Alligator mississippiensis: one gene and its partner. Each later gene encodes a partner of the first gene's protein in a complex. Links are inferred from orthologs where the notes say so. Each region holds a gene or a part of one and is shown on either strand. Other genes may lie near its edges.

Region 1 (7,038 bases):
CATCAGATCTCCTGCCATGCACGTGTGGCATGACAGGAAGTGCAATTGTGTGGATTGTGCATCAGATCCCATCACGCCTTCACCTGTACGTCTAGAGGGGCCCCAAGGCAGCCCACCGTAAAATTATGACAAGAAACACGACGTGAGAAATTATGAAAAGAGATTAAACTGTTGTATAGCAAGTCTAAGTACTGTGCAACCTACACCCGACTGCTGATTTGTTTAACCTGGATGACAATACAAACACAAAGTGTACCTCACAATTTCAACTCTAGTTGCACATTCTGACTGTTTTTCTTTCCATTGTGTCTCATCCCAGTCCAGTTCATAGAACACAACCACAAGTGCAGGTACCAGATTCAGATGTTTGTTCATCCAACCAGTCTTCAGTATCCCTTTTGGAATGTACCACTCATAAGATGTCCTCTGAAATTGTTAAAATCGATCAGTTATCAATCCCAACTAAAGTTGCCATATTTGGGAACTCTTTGTATACTGTTGATCTTGAGGATGCATTTATCATCTTTTATCCAACAATCTTGCCTTCTACACTGAAACTTAATGCTATCTTTTGGTTATGATTTCATTTAGCCATCATATTTAACCAACTGGTATTATAAGCACACAAACATCACTGGAACATTAGATAAAAACAGAAGTCTTTGAAATCCCAGGGAACTGAGATGGGAGTGGATGGACCGGAAGGAGAGAAAAAGAATACAATACTAAAATACACATTACGTCCAGTTATGTCCAGGGATAAAAAGTTATATTCTTCACTTATGGAATCATTTTGTGCAAAAGGAAAAAAAAAAAACACAAACAAACCAACCAAACCAGTATTGTAGAGCAAAAAAGAAGTCGAAATTTGAGAACTGAAGCCAGGTCTTTTGGTGTCTAGTTCTCAGCCCTTGGTATGGACTATGCTGCTTATCAGATGCCAAACTTTGACAGTACTTCCTAACTCCTTCTGCAGCGCAGTAAGTAGGCTACAAATACTATCTTCTACTGCAACTCACTCAGTCAAAATTGAATAACTGGAGTTCGGATGTTGTCCAAGTTACAGATTTATAACTTTAACAGGTAATTCTTCCAGATTTCATGTAACTAGAGTGTAGAAAGAGCCATGTTAATCTGAATTCAGGCAGAAAGCAGGTCAGAGTAGCACCTCAAAGACCAACTCCTTCGGAAAGTTATAATCTTTCATAGGTGAGTGTCTACCTCATCAGATGATGTGAATGTACTTGCAGAGAGGAAAGATACCAAGTGGGGAAAAAATAACTTAAATATAAGGATAGGGAAAGGAGATGGGAAGGGGACTGATAAGAGAGGCAACAGTGGGTTGAAGACATCAGAAAGGATTAAACAAAGCAGTTAACCCACTAACGGACATAAGGGTTATAAAAAGATAGTCCAGAGATAATCCAGAACCTCTGTTGAGACCATAATTAAGGATCAATTCAATATCATTTCTAAAAAACACACAGGGCGCTTATACACATGCTCCAGGAGGTGGACGGAGGGTGCTTTAATTAGAGTGGCCTCCCCACACTTCAAAATGGTGTGGGGGGGGGGGGGGGAGGGCCGCTTTATCTAAAGCTTGTTAAGTGAGCTTTAGATAAAACGCCCCCCCTGCCATTTTGAAGTGCGGAGACACTGATATAAGAGTCACAGGAGGCTACTGGAGCACAGGAACTGCCACACTCTAGCAGACGTGATTAATCAAGTCTGCTCATGTATAGGCACCCACAAGCCTGTGGTAGAGCACTAACTCCCTGGGAATGCCATCACTGACCAGAGAGTAGCTGTTCATAGGCAACAGACCACTAAAAGCCAACCTGAATGCAAAAGTGCAGATTAAGAAAACACCCACAGGTAGGTCTGTGTTAAATATGGTCTCAGCAGAGATTCTACCTGCCTTCCACATAGCAGAAAGTAGTAGTAAAGTTTTACAGAGTAATCACGAACAGCAAACATTTTACAATAAAAATTTGATCTCTCCTATAAGATTGAATATTTTTTTAATGAGAGAAATAGATAGACTGACTTTGGACTATACCTTTGTTCTGCATTTGGGATATTCATGATCACCAGGAAGTACTTTGAACGAAATCGGGACTCGATCTGCTCTTCTATTAGCACAAAATGCATCCCAGACTGCACGGTGAACAGCATTGTATATAAGATCCAAGCCCGTGAGGGTTACAAATGCCATAGGACGACAGCACAGCTCCACAGGGAAGTCCCACTGCGTCGGGGTCATCTTGAGCTCGTCTTAACCCTGAAATACAAAAGTGCCACATATTTCAGACCACTTCCTGAGCAAGCAGTTCCTGACCGCATGCAACAGCCATCATTCTCCTAACGAAAGCAAGCTGGCCCCTGCAAGCAAGAGGCTGGCCTGCTCCACTGAGGCAAAATGTATTTTGGGAACATGGAAGATGCAGGCATTTCTCAGCCACTGATATTTTTTCTTTTAAGATGGTTTTGTTTTTAAGGAACCTTGATGAAGGTCTCACGCCTTGATGAACCCTTGACCAGGGTTGCTCCCTGAAGACAGAGGGCACTGGGAAATCTTCACCTCTTGCTTCTTTCCAAGCCTGACTAGAGACACCCAGAGAGGTTTTTGTTTTGTATCTTGTTCACAGCCAGACCAATTCCAAGCTGAATGGGCCAAAGCCCAACAACCAGACTCCCAAATTCAACTAAGCAGAGCTCAACCGCCAAGTCTGCGGGGCTGGGCAGCCAGGCCAGGCAAGTCTCCTGCCCCCACCCAGGCCCCCTGGCCTAGGGCTTGGTGCGAAGCTGCGGATACTCCCCAAGCCCCCAGCAGGCGCCCACCGCGCATGCTCAGCCCCGGGGCAGAGGCCTCCAGGTTGCACCGGGGCTGGGACCCAGTCACGAGGCCAAGGGAGCAGCCGTGGGGACACAAACGCAGCCCCCCGGGTCCAGGCAGCGTTCTCACCTCCCGTGCTCCCACAGTTCCTCCCGCCCAGCCCAGCCGGCACCACTGCAGACAGCAGAGAATAGCCAGGAGAGCCAGGCAGCTCCACCTGCGGAAGCAAGCACCAAGCGTCCGATTGACAGCCCGCTGCGCCAATCGGCGGCGCCCAACCCAACGACCAAGCCCATCATTGGCGCGCATGGAGACGGTCCGCGGGGAGCGCGAGGGGCGGGGCCACGAAACTGGCCAATCGCTAGAGGGAGGGGGCGGGCCCGGCGACTTGGGACCGGGACCAATCGGCGATCCATGAAGCAGCCTGGCAGAGGAACTGGAGCGGCAGGGCGGGGCTTGGCGTTTGCGCATGTGCGCGGCTTTCCTGCGTGTTCGCGTGCTGCCGGGTCGGGCTGAGGGCGGGCAGCGGCAGGGACCTCCGGGGGGAGGTCTCCTCCCCCTCACGCGCCATGACGGCGAACGAAGACCAGGAGGTGAGATCCCCCACTCCACGTCACAGGGCTCTCCTGCCCCCACCTCACCCCGCGGGGAGACGTCACACACCGCGGGGGCGGGGCTGCTCTCGGGCACCCCCGCCCGGCGCCTGCCTTAAAGAGGCCGCGGGCGCTGCTTGGGGGGGGTCTGGCCTTGCCTTGTCTCTAGGGCTGGTCCGTCCTTCCCACCCCACCCCACCCCACCCCCGGAACCTGCAGGTACCGTTTATTGTGTGGCCCGCCATAAATGTAACGTAGGGGAGGCCTGATTTGAAGGCAGCGTCTAGTGCACAGGGATGGCCCATGGGGCAGGTGCTGAGAGCTGGAGGAGGGAGCAGGGCCATAGCAGCTTGAGGGAACCTGGCACCAGCAGTTAGCTGGTGCTGCCAGGTGTGAACGGAGATCACTGGTGCCAAGTGGAGCAGCACTGTCGCCTCCTGTGCTTTACGCAGGGCTGGATTAAGGCATACGCAGACTGAGCATGTGCCGGGGGCCCTAAGTGAAGAGGGAGCAGTTGTGGTTATTTGACATATTACAATTATTGAGTGAAAAAAGTCATAAAAGCTTCATCTGCAGCTGGGGGCCCACAAGTTTGTTTGCCTCGGGCCTGCTAAAGGGTGAACCTGGCCTGGCTTTACGTCTAGTGCTCTTGTCAAAGCGCAGCCCAAAACGGCCTTTTGTTTCTTTCTTCTTTTTTTCTGCAGCTACCTGGCATCACTGACTCCTGTTTCTACAAATGTAATTTTTAAAGCTGTAACTTGAAAGGGTATGAGAAGGTGATACAACATTTGGCACGGGCAGTAGGAAAAAATCACCTCCCGTGTCATTTGGCTGCATTGGGCAGCTGACAAGCTCCAGAAAAAGTTTTCATTTTTTCCGTAGTCCTTATTATGAAAAGATTAGCCAGGAGGCTTTTGTTTGATTATTGTGGGTTTACAACTTCAGTGGATCCAACATCAGGTTGAATGGCATAATGCTATAATTGTGCCAGTCAGTGGCATCTTGGGGCATTTTTACATGTGCTTTGGGGGTGGGTGCTTTAACTGGAGTTGCTCTGAGGGTGGAGCTGCTCTAATTAAAATGCTGCAGCATCTCATGTATCAGCCTCCATGCATGTCAAAATAGCAGCGAGGGTGCTTGACCTAAAGCTCATTCAACTTCAACTTGTTAATGGTCTGAAGGTACAGCAAGGGAGGTTTAGTTGGATATTAGGAAGAACTTTCTCACTAGGGGACTGGTGAAGTACTGGAACAGGTTACCTAGAGAGGTGGTGGCAGAGCCAACCATAATGGGGTGCGAGGCCTGGGGCAAATCAGCCTGCGTGGGGTCCCCTTAACACTGCACAGGGCTGTGGTACCCCTGCAAAGGGGGTGGGGGAAATCTCTGTGCTTCTTCCGCAGTGTGGGGCTGGGCCACAAGCTCCAGGTGCGCCCTGTGGGAGGGCCTGCGACCACTCTGCCTGGCTCTGTGGGGCCCCCCCAAAGTACGGAGTCTGGGGCGGTCGCCCTGATTCACCGTATCCTCGGGACGGCTCTGGGTGGTGGAACCTCCATCCTTGGAGGTTTTCAAGACCCGGCTAAACAGAGCCTTGACTGGGATGATCTAGTTGGGGATGGTCCTGCTTTGAGCAGGTCCCTTCCAACCCTAAGTTTCTTTGATTCTATACACAAGATGCAGAGACTGGCTGGAGCAAACTAATTATCACACTCCAGCACGTAATTACAGCACGTTGGAGCAGCCTTTCCAACATGTCTACAGGCACCTTTGGATTCTATTTGGGGACAGATCTACTTGGACCCCTTTCATAAAAAGGGATCTTGTAAGTGAGGAGCTATTTTATTTATAGCAAGTGTAATGAAGATAGAAGCATTCTTTAGATATTGTTTGATATTTTCCCATGGAAAGTCACAAAATTAAGATTTAAAAAGTCCTAGTTGTCTGAAATCCTATAATGTTCACTCAATTGAGGAGTTTCTGAAAGTTTTTTTATGAAGATGGATTATTAGCTTATGCTAATGTTTGGACACCCTTGTGTAGCTTACCCTGGAGTATGTTTGATACCCTTGTGTAGCTTAGCCAGAATAATTTAGATTGGTATCCTGTGTTTAAACTTGTTTTCTGGAAAACTGAAATTGGATTATAGTAGTACCAAACAAGACTGAATCAGTTACATTTGTTGGCTGTATTTTTATGGGATCTATTGACCTATGTAAACACAATTCAATGAATGTATACTTTGCGTGTGTGTGGTGTATGTGTGGTTGTTCTGGCTTGACCTTTTTACATAAAACATTTAGAAAAACATTAAACTGAAGTATTAGATTAAAATTGTTAACTGTTTTCTTTATCTCATCTTTCTAGATGGAACTAGAAGCTTTACGTTCTATTTACGAAGGAGATGAGCGTTTTAGAGAACTTAGTCCTGTTTCCTTTCAGTACAGGGTAAGACTTCATGAAGTTTTGTAGCTAAATGGAATATGTTGTATATATTACAAAATAGTTTCTTAAAACATATGGCTATTCACCTAGTGGACAATTATAGCATAAGGAACTAGATTGATGAAGCTACTTGGAACATGGACATGTTGACAGATTACTTGCGGCAGATCAGTCTGACCATGTCGGAGCCCCTAAAAGTAGTTCAGCCCCACCTGCAATAGTGGCAGATACCCCAGGATGACTGGCTATCTTTTCTCCCCAGAGCCTGTTTTTTTGTGTGTGTTGTGCCTTGAGTGTCATCTCTCTGGTGTGTTAAAGGCACTGGGCATCTGGCTTCTAGAATGGAATCAACAGTTCTATGTAAAGTCAAGTCAGTCCTGAGGCCATTGAGGCACCTTGGATGCTGTGCATCACTGGTGATTCTTTGGGCAGAGTGACCTGGTGACACCCATCTCCCCTCCAAGTATGGAAGGCGATTGGCTCGCAGGGAGCTCATGTGCCCTTTGACAGGTCTTGTTTTTAGTCCTGCTGAGCGTCCACACGCCCTCCTCACCCAGGCTAGCCCAGGTGGGGATACCAGTTTAGTCATCGACAACCCAACCATGGAACAGGCTGTACCAGTTGACATGGTACCAGATAGCAGACCGAGAGAGGCCTGGTCTGATGGGGTCCCTGTATAAAGCATGGTCAGAATTAGGCATCTCAGAATTAGATCTATAAAGCCAGCAGACTGAGGAGAGCACCTCCTAAGCAAGCCAATGAGGGAAAAAGAACAGGAGTACGTCTCAAGCCATACCTTAACTATCAATACTTAAGCACCAGAGAAGATTCATAGCTCAAAACCTTTCTTCTGCAGTTAGATGCCAGAATAATTTCTTTAAAAAAGGCAAAGAGAACCTGCTACGTTTTAGGCAGTCTTTTAGAAGGTTGCAGTGATGGTCTCTTACGTAGCATCCTGGTAGTTAAAGAACTCGCCCTGTATGTGAAAAGCCTAAGTTTAGTGATCACCTGAGCCAGTAGGAGTAGAAACCTATATTTTCTACCTCCCGAGAGAATGCAGAAAAAAATTCAAGATTCTCCTGAGCAAGATGATTCAAGAGAGCAAGATTAAACAAGATTCTATATCCTTCTGGCTAGATCATTCGCTTAGGCAGTAGAGAAGACTTCGGT
Region 2 (7,654 bases), on another chromosome or scaffold:
ATTGTCAAATTTTAATCCAGGCATAGCAAGGTTCTCTTTGTCTATGAACACGGTGCTGTACTGCTGTGTGGCTACTGAGATTAAAACATTTCTGGTTTCGTCACTAGGAAGCCAGGCATCATTTCTTCTGTCTAGTTCACTTATATTCAAGGCTGTGGCAAAGGGGTCATCACTTCCAGAAAAAACAGCCTGGATCTGGGAAAATGGTTTGGGAGACTCTGATATTTCTAAAGATGCTGGGGGGCCACCTGCTTCAGATCTCTCATTTCCTCCTGCATAGATGGGGTCAGCAGAGGCATGTGAACGATCTCCGACTGTAGAAAGAGATGACATTTGTTCTGGTACTGAAGAGCTTGCATTAGGATTACTGACAGAAATAAAAGCGGATGTAGTAAATGAATCAAAAAAGTCAGAAGCTAGAGTATTAGTGTTAACAGTATCACCAAAAAACTTGCTTAGACTAGGACTTGGTTGAACCACCTGTGGCTGAGACTTCGCTGGAGTCTCATTTACACTGCTAAAACTAGGAGACTTTACCATCTGAGGCTCAAAGCCATCATGTAGGAACAACTGTAGTTGAGTATTAGCATGGCTTGCTTGACTGAAAATGGTGCACACAGGGATTGGCTCAGCGTCAGGAGATGATCTGCTGGCAAGTGGTGATGATATTTGCTCCTCAGTTTTACTTTCATCAATATCACTTGGTGTTGAGGCCATTGGAACTTCGTCTCCTACCTTCTGTCCAATTTTTGGTGCTTCTTGAATTGAATCCTCCTTTAAAGATGCCTGATCATCTGTTCCAATGTCAGAAACATCTTTGGGTGTTTCTTCTTGTTCCATTTCACTCTCATTACTCAGGATTTCTTTATCCACTTCTTCTGCTACATGAATGTTTTTGGCTTCCATTTGCTCTACAATCTCCCGCAGGCAACCAAGTTCACCAGTGTCATCTTCACTATTGTTTGGAGAATCTGAAATAACAACACTCTCCATCATATGTTCATTAAGTTTATCTAAAAAGTTATTGGAATCTTCTGAGATGGTCTCATTCCCTTCAGACTCAAATTCATCCCCACCAAGATCAATGGTTTCCTCATGAAAGAGAAGTTCTTCCTGGGCTCCCTGTTGAACTTCATTCCCACTATCCTCTTCATGTGAAACACTCTTTTTAGCATTCTTATTCTTACTTCCATTATTTTCCATTGCATCTAAAGAAGAAAAATAGGCAGGAAATTAGTTTCGCTGAACAAGTACAGTACACTTCTATTCTAAACCTCAAAAGTATTGACTGAATGAAAGTTTCTAAATCCAGTAATCTGACTATTAGAACGTTAATTTATCACAAAAATCCATTTGATCACAAAAATGTTTTAAACCCACTTTCTGCCATTATGAACAGTGGAGTTACAAAACATTGTAAGGACACAAGGCCAATGGCATACGTACCCACGCAGTTCTATTTAACCACTGCAGCTGCCCCCCACAAAGATCATTATTAACACTCTGACCTGCCACAGGTAAAGTGGGGCAAGCAGGGATGCCCAGGCTCTGCTACAAGCGCTCTGGAACAACAACCCCCGCCCAACCCAAGCAGCTGACACGTGTCCGGTACATAGCATTTGCCAATGCACCTGTGTTGCCAGGTGTACGATCGTGATCATACCTGTACAATAATTTCAACCCTCGTACAATCAATAATAGTAAGAGTGTTCAAAAAAGGCGATAATTTTTTAGGTGGTTAATTGATGCAGCATATGCGAAGCCCAAATCACTCATAGAGAGTCTTAACTGACTTTTTGGGTTTGCTGTCAGTGCTTTCTTAGGACTGCTTGACTCGAAATAAAAAAATGCTTCAACTTTGACAATGTGTGGTCTCGCTCACTCACTGATTTACAGTGACAATAGAATATAAATAAGAAAAAGTCTTATTTGCATTTTTTTCAGTGTATGATAGCTGTACAGCACACACGGTAATTCAGAGCTTTCAATACAATGACTTCATATTGAAGACCTGGCAACGCTACCATGCGCTGCAGCAGACCCTGGTTCTACCGCGCACTTGGGATGCGAGGACCAGGGTTTTCTTAACCTCATCCCCTACCTCCAAACCCGCCCCTCACCCGCTCCCGCGGGGGCCCCAGTGCTGAGGCCCAGGAAGTCCCGCTCCCCGCGACCACGGCCGGCTGCGCGCGCAACGACTGCCCGGCCCGGGGGCTCTCGGTCGCTCCGGTGGCCATGGCAACAGCGGGGTGCACCGCCTAACGGCAGCAAACGACTCTCGGGAGCGTACAACGCGCTCCTCCGCCAGCAGCGCCGCGCCCCCGCCTGCCCCGCTCCCGCGCGGGGCCCCCAAAGCAGCCCCTGACTCGCTGCCTCGGCCCCACCTGCTGCCGGCTCGGCGCCCCGAACCTCTTCCCGGACAGGCGCCGGCAACCACTACGCCTGCGCCAGACGCAGGACAAACCCCTCGCAGCGCATGCGCTACCTCCTCACCCGGAAATTGAGTGAGTGACGGAAACCACCGTGGGTCAAAAAACCAGGGGGCAAAACACCCAGCAAGCAGGGACTGAAAACTCGTAGTTAGAGGCAGCAGAGCTATGGAAGACGACGCGCCGGTGATTTATGGGCTGGAGTTCCAGGTGTGTGTGTGTATGTGTCGGCTCCGTGAGGCGGGGCGGGAAAGTGTGGGGAGGACTTAATGCTTACCCGGGCTCGGATCCTGCCACGCGCCAGGGAGCTGCAGGTAATGTTGGTACGTTCCAAGTGCGTGCCTCCGGTGGTACGTTCCAGGTTTGCGCCTCGCAGGTGCGCGCCTCCCAGGTGCGCGCCCGAGGTGGTACGTTCCAGGTGCTCCCAGGGACTGGCGGCGCTGGAGCAGAGTGCGCAGGCGCAGGGCGGAATTGTGGCCACGCTCTGCCCCCAGGCGTCGGGAGGGAGTCCCTGTCCCCTCTCGGGGTTTCTGAGTTTTGCACGGAGGACCTCGCGCGGGCCCTGTGCTGTGACAATGCGCCTGTCCTGCTGAGGCTTTGAGCCGCAAGCCTCTGGCTCCGGGCTCTTGCTCTGGGCGCAGAGTCACACCCACCTCTGCGCTTGGGGTCAGGAAGGATGCTTCTCCCGTGGCCAGAGGGGTGCGGCCTGGGGGGTGTTGGCAACCTGCATGCAGCAGGACGTGGGCTGCGGTGCCCCCTGCTTCCCTGTGCCTGGTTTAGGTCTTGCGTTGCATCCATGTTGATGGGAGCTTTGCTGGGAGGTTAGACAGTGGGCTTGGATGGGATGGGATGGTTTGGGTAGGGATGATCCTGCCTTGGGCAGGGCGGGTTGGATTAGATCCACGTTTCTTAACCCGTGGGTCATGACCCAAAAGTGGGTCACGGGAATATGTGAAAGGGTCTCAAACAAACTTCATAAAATGGATTTTCTTTGTTAAGAGAAACGTGGGAAACAGCGGGTTTCCTCTTGCAGGCTGGCAGAGTTCCAGCCTGTGAGGGACTGCTTGGGGCTGGGAGGAGTGGAGGAGGGTGACCAGGTAGCGGGTACCACATGCATGCACACATGCACATGGCAGCCAGGCAGCATGGAGAGCAGTTCTTGCAGCTCCCAGCAGGTAAGTCTATGGGGTAGGGGGACTATAGTACAGACATCATGGCAGGGGGGCACAGGCAACACCTGCCACCCCATGTTCTATTTGGGGTAGAGCTGTGGCCCAAGGGGACGGCACAGTAGTGGTTAGCGAAGGTGAGGGCAGCGTGCCCTCCTCCCCCTCCCCCCCCCAATGCCCCAACACTGGCGGCCTGGGGCCTTGGGCAAGGGGCAGCTGGTTGGGAATGAGGGGCACCAGCAGAGTTGGGAGCATGGGGGTCTGTGGGTTGTGAGTGAGGGGCCCTGGCAGGGCCAGGAGGTTGTTTTCTGCTTGAACTGTTTACTGGGTTGGGCCTAGCCATCAATGTTTACAAAAGGTTGAGAACCACGGGCTTAACTGACCTCTAGAGAGCCTGTCCGGCCCTGCTTCTTGATGACTGTCACTCAGTTGCCCCCTTCCCGGCCCTCGCTTCTTCCATATCACTTCCTTACCCTCAACCCCGCCGCAGGGTAAGTGCTTTGCCCTGTCTCTGAAGAGATCTTCCTGGGTGCTTTTTTTTCCTCTCCTGTAGACCGAGGGAGACGTGTGCTTCTTTCACGGGGAGGAGGAATCCAGTTCAGGATGCTATCTGCCGTGATGTGCGAGTGATATCATAAAAAATGTCACCCCAAAAATCCTTGCCTGGGCTGATCCAGCATGTGGGGCCGTGCCAGCCAGCATCCATGGGGCTCGCTAGGGGTCCAGAAATTAGGTCAGCAGGATGAGTGGTGACAGTGTTAAAAGCTTTGTCTCCAGGAGCCTCTGCAGTTTACTCTGCCACCAAACTCTTGGAGATATGGGAACCCCTGAAGGCTGTACCTTGGTCACCTTGGGTCTAGATCCTATTCAAATATTGTTACTGGTGTTGCAGTTTCTTTCTGAATTTGTCCCACGTGGGAAACTCAGACATCAAACTGTTGGCTTATTTTCATGTTGCAATGGGGTAGTTTCTTGTAGGCTTCAAAACTCAGATGTTCAAAGAAAGGGCAACTGAATGAAATACTTAATAAAGATTCTTTGGCTGGGTGACAGCATGGGGTTGCTATAGCAATTAATTTTTTGTGTGCTGTGTTTGCTAGGGCGCAACCCATTCTTTATGGGATACAATACTTTCTCATGTCTGACCATTGCTCATTATCAGTAGTCTTATGAGGGGTGGGCAACTGGGTCTGGTGCCGTGGTCACCCCCTTAGGGCATGTCACTACTGTTGCCTACCTCTGCTCACCATTTTATGGCCAGGACACAGAATTAAATGTTACACTCAGGTTGATAACTGAGGCTTAAATCTTATTTGGGGTCATAGAATGAAATCCATCTGTAATACCCAGTACATTTGATGACAAGTTAGATAAGGCTCTCAAACTATCTAGCTCCTGCCACAATTGCTGTTCACAACAGGAGCAGCACAGACTTACTTTCTGGACAATACACAGTAGCTGTCTGGGGACTCTGGCCTAGTGGGAGCACAAGGGCAACAGGTTATATGGGAAGGTAGCTGTAACCTGGGCATCATTAAAGTTAGCACCATGTGACAAAGTTTAATCTTGCTGTCATGCAGATCATCAGGTTTTCATTAAACTGGCTAATAAATAAGCAGCTTTGCTCAGTTCCTTGAATACAACATTCATGTCATTTTGTATCTGCCAAATCTTTTATCTTCACTCTTGACAATGATTTTGATCATGTTTACAAGAAATTATCTTGTACACAGAATCATAGAAAATTAGGGTTGGAAGGGACCTTGGGAGGTCCCTGCTCAAAGCAGAACTATCCGTGACTATTACTCCAGCCAAGACTTTGTCTAGCCAGGTCTTAAAAACTTGCAAGGTTGGAGATTCCACAGCTTCTCTGTGGAACCTGTTCCAGTGCTTTACTACCTTCCTAGTGAGAATTTTCCTAATATCTAACCTAAACTTCTCATGCTGCAACTTGAGACCATTGCTCCTTGTTTCATCTGCCATGACTAAGAACAGTTTAGCTCCATCGTTGCTGGAACCACCCTTTAGGCAGTTGAAGACTGCTGTTAAATCCCCACTCAGTCTTCTCTTCTCTGGGTTAAATAAGCTCGGGTCCTCCAGCCTCTCCTTGTAAGTAGGGTGACTGTATGGGACAATGTGAAACCTGGGATGCTGCCCCCCCTACCCACCTCAAGTCACTGATGCAGCTTGGTGCAGCTCTAGTAATACTATTCAGACAGCTAAGGGAGTCAGTGACTTATTGTTCTTTACTTGTCATCTCCCCTTTTTAATGGTCATTCCACTAATCAAGCTAACTGATTTTAGGGCAGTTTTACTGTCTGCTAGGCCTTCCTATTTCACAGCTTCTGCCACTCCATCCTGTACCCAGGATGCTTATTTTAATTTATTATCCGGCTGGGGCCAGCCTCTGAAATCTGGGAATGTCCAGCCAAGCCTGAATGTATGGTTACACTCCTCATAAGTCATGTGTCCCAGCCCCCTATCCATTTTTGTTGTCCTCTGCTGGCCTCTCTCCAATTTGTCCACATCCTTTCTGTAGTGGGAGGCCCAAAACCAAACAGTACTCCAGATGTGGCCTTACCAGTGTTGAGTAGAAGGGAATAATCACTTCTCTTGATCTGCTGTTAATACTCAGGCTAATGCAGCCCAGTATGCTGTTAGCCTTCTTCATGCAAAGGGCACAGTGTTGACTCGTATTCAGCTTCTTATCTGCTGTAACCCCAGGTCCTTTTTAGCAAAGCTGTGGCTTAGCCAGTCGGTCCCTGACCTGTACCAGTGCATAGGATTTTCCATCCTAAGTGCAGGACTTTGTACTTGTCCTTATTGAGCCTCATGAGATTCTTTTTGATCCAATCCTCTAATTTGCTGAGGTCACTCTGAATCTTAGATCTGCCCCTTGTTACTTTGAATTACCAATTTATTAAATCAAGAGCAAGACCTGATAAAGGGGGATAAGGCAAAATGCTGCGTTTATTGATTACATGAATTGGACATAGAGGTTCAGACACACCACTCGTATAAACACACACACAAATCATCATACACAACATTACACACGGGTGCACACAAACTAAAAACAACCATTCCATTCTGTCATAGTTACCAGCAGCAGTTGTTCAATAATAGCACTGGGTGGCCAGCCCAGGTCTTATTGAGAGAGAGAGAGATCCTGGAGATAGCAGCTTGGAGCAGGGTGAACAGACATGTCTGTGCTCCAAAGAAACAGCAGTTGAGAGAGTTGGATATACTGAACCTGGTATATTCTAGATTCCTCTTTTTATGGGGGTTGGCATCCTTTGTTTAGCACTTCGGGGTTTTTCCATATGCAATTTCTATTTTTGCAGTTGTTTCTCATCCATCTTCTGCTTATCTCAGCCCAAAGTCAGTATGGTCATAAAAGTTGGTATCTCAGCCTTGGAGTGTCCTTGCTGCCCATCTGGCAGGATGTGCGCATTCTTCCTCGTTACCTCCTTTGTGCCCTAGGCCTCAAAGGGATTCTTCAACCAATTATTAATTAGCTTACTGGTTGGTAACTTACATTTGGTACCTTGTTGCTTACATAAACAGCTAAATCTTCTTGTCCTGTCTCTATGCCATTCTCTCACCATTTACCCTTTCACATACACTCATTCATAAAAGGGCATGCAGAGTTCATTCACTTATGTCAAGCAAAAGAAAACAAAATGGAATTTTCAAGTTACTTAGAGGACAAAACTAACATGGTTACATTTCACTACTATTACGCTCTATGTTAACATCAGCTACATTAGTTCAGTTCATGCTACACCAGGGGTGGGCGAAATATGGCCCACGAGGCTGTTCTATCTGGCCTATGGGGCCCCTAAAAAAATTTAGAAAATTAAAATATATCTGCCCTTGGTTCCTGTCAAAGATGACAGAAACCAAGGGTAGTAGGATCGAGGGGAAGCCCTGGAGGACTCCTTCAACACCAGGGCCTGCCTGCCCCCCCCCCCCCCCCCCCCAGCCTGAAGCCCCAACAGGGGCTTCTGGCCTGGATCATGTGGTTACCCTGGCACGGGAAGCTCAGGTGGGTGG

The links. Proteins that work in one complex are often made in the same cells at the same time.
Region 2: TRAPPC11 (region 1) and TRAPPC12 share a complex: the UniProt entries of both Homo sapiens proteins name them as parts of the multisubunit TRAPP (transport protein particle) complex. The link is inferred for Alligator mississippiensis from reciprocal best matches to the Homo sapiens genes TRAPPC11 and TRAPPC12.

What each region holds. Positions count from the first base shown.
Region 1 is NC_081825.1:71,702,957-71,709,994, forward strand, and holds the start of TRAPPC11 (trafficking protein particle complex subunit 11), read right to left. Parts: upstream 3,074-7,038; 5' UTR 2,966-3,073; intron 2,282-2,965; 5' UTR 2,264-2,281; coding exon 2,060-2,263; intron 427-2,059; coding exon 257-426; intron 1-256. Other genes in the region: RWDD4 (RWD domain-containing protein 4), read left to right, coding at 3,406-3,429, 5,791-5,871. UniProt on the Homo sapiens protein: Involved in endoplasmic reticulum to Golgi apparatus trafficking at a very early stage.
Region 2 is NC_081824.1:36,432,590-36,440,243, forward strand, and holds the start of TRAPPC12 (trafficking protein particle complex subunit 12), read right to left. Parts: upstream 3,070-7,654; 5' UTR 2,744-3,069; coding exon of another isoform or gene 2,699-2,743; exon of another isoform or gene 2,684-2,698; intron 2,640-2,683; coding exon of another isoform or gene 2,598-2,639; exon of another isoform or gene 2,495-2,597; intron 2,466-2,494; exon of another isoform or gene 2,385-2,465; intron 1,209-2,384; 5' UTR 1,204-1,208; coding exon 1-1,203. Other genes in the region: EIPR1 (EARP and GARP complex-interacting protein 1), read left to right, coding at 2,598-2,639. UniProt on the Homo sapiens protein: Component of the TRAPP complex, which is involved in endoplasmic reticulum to Golgi apparatus trafficking at a very early stage.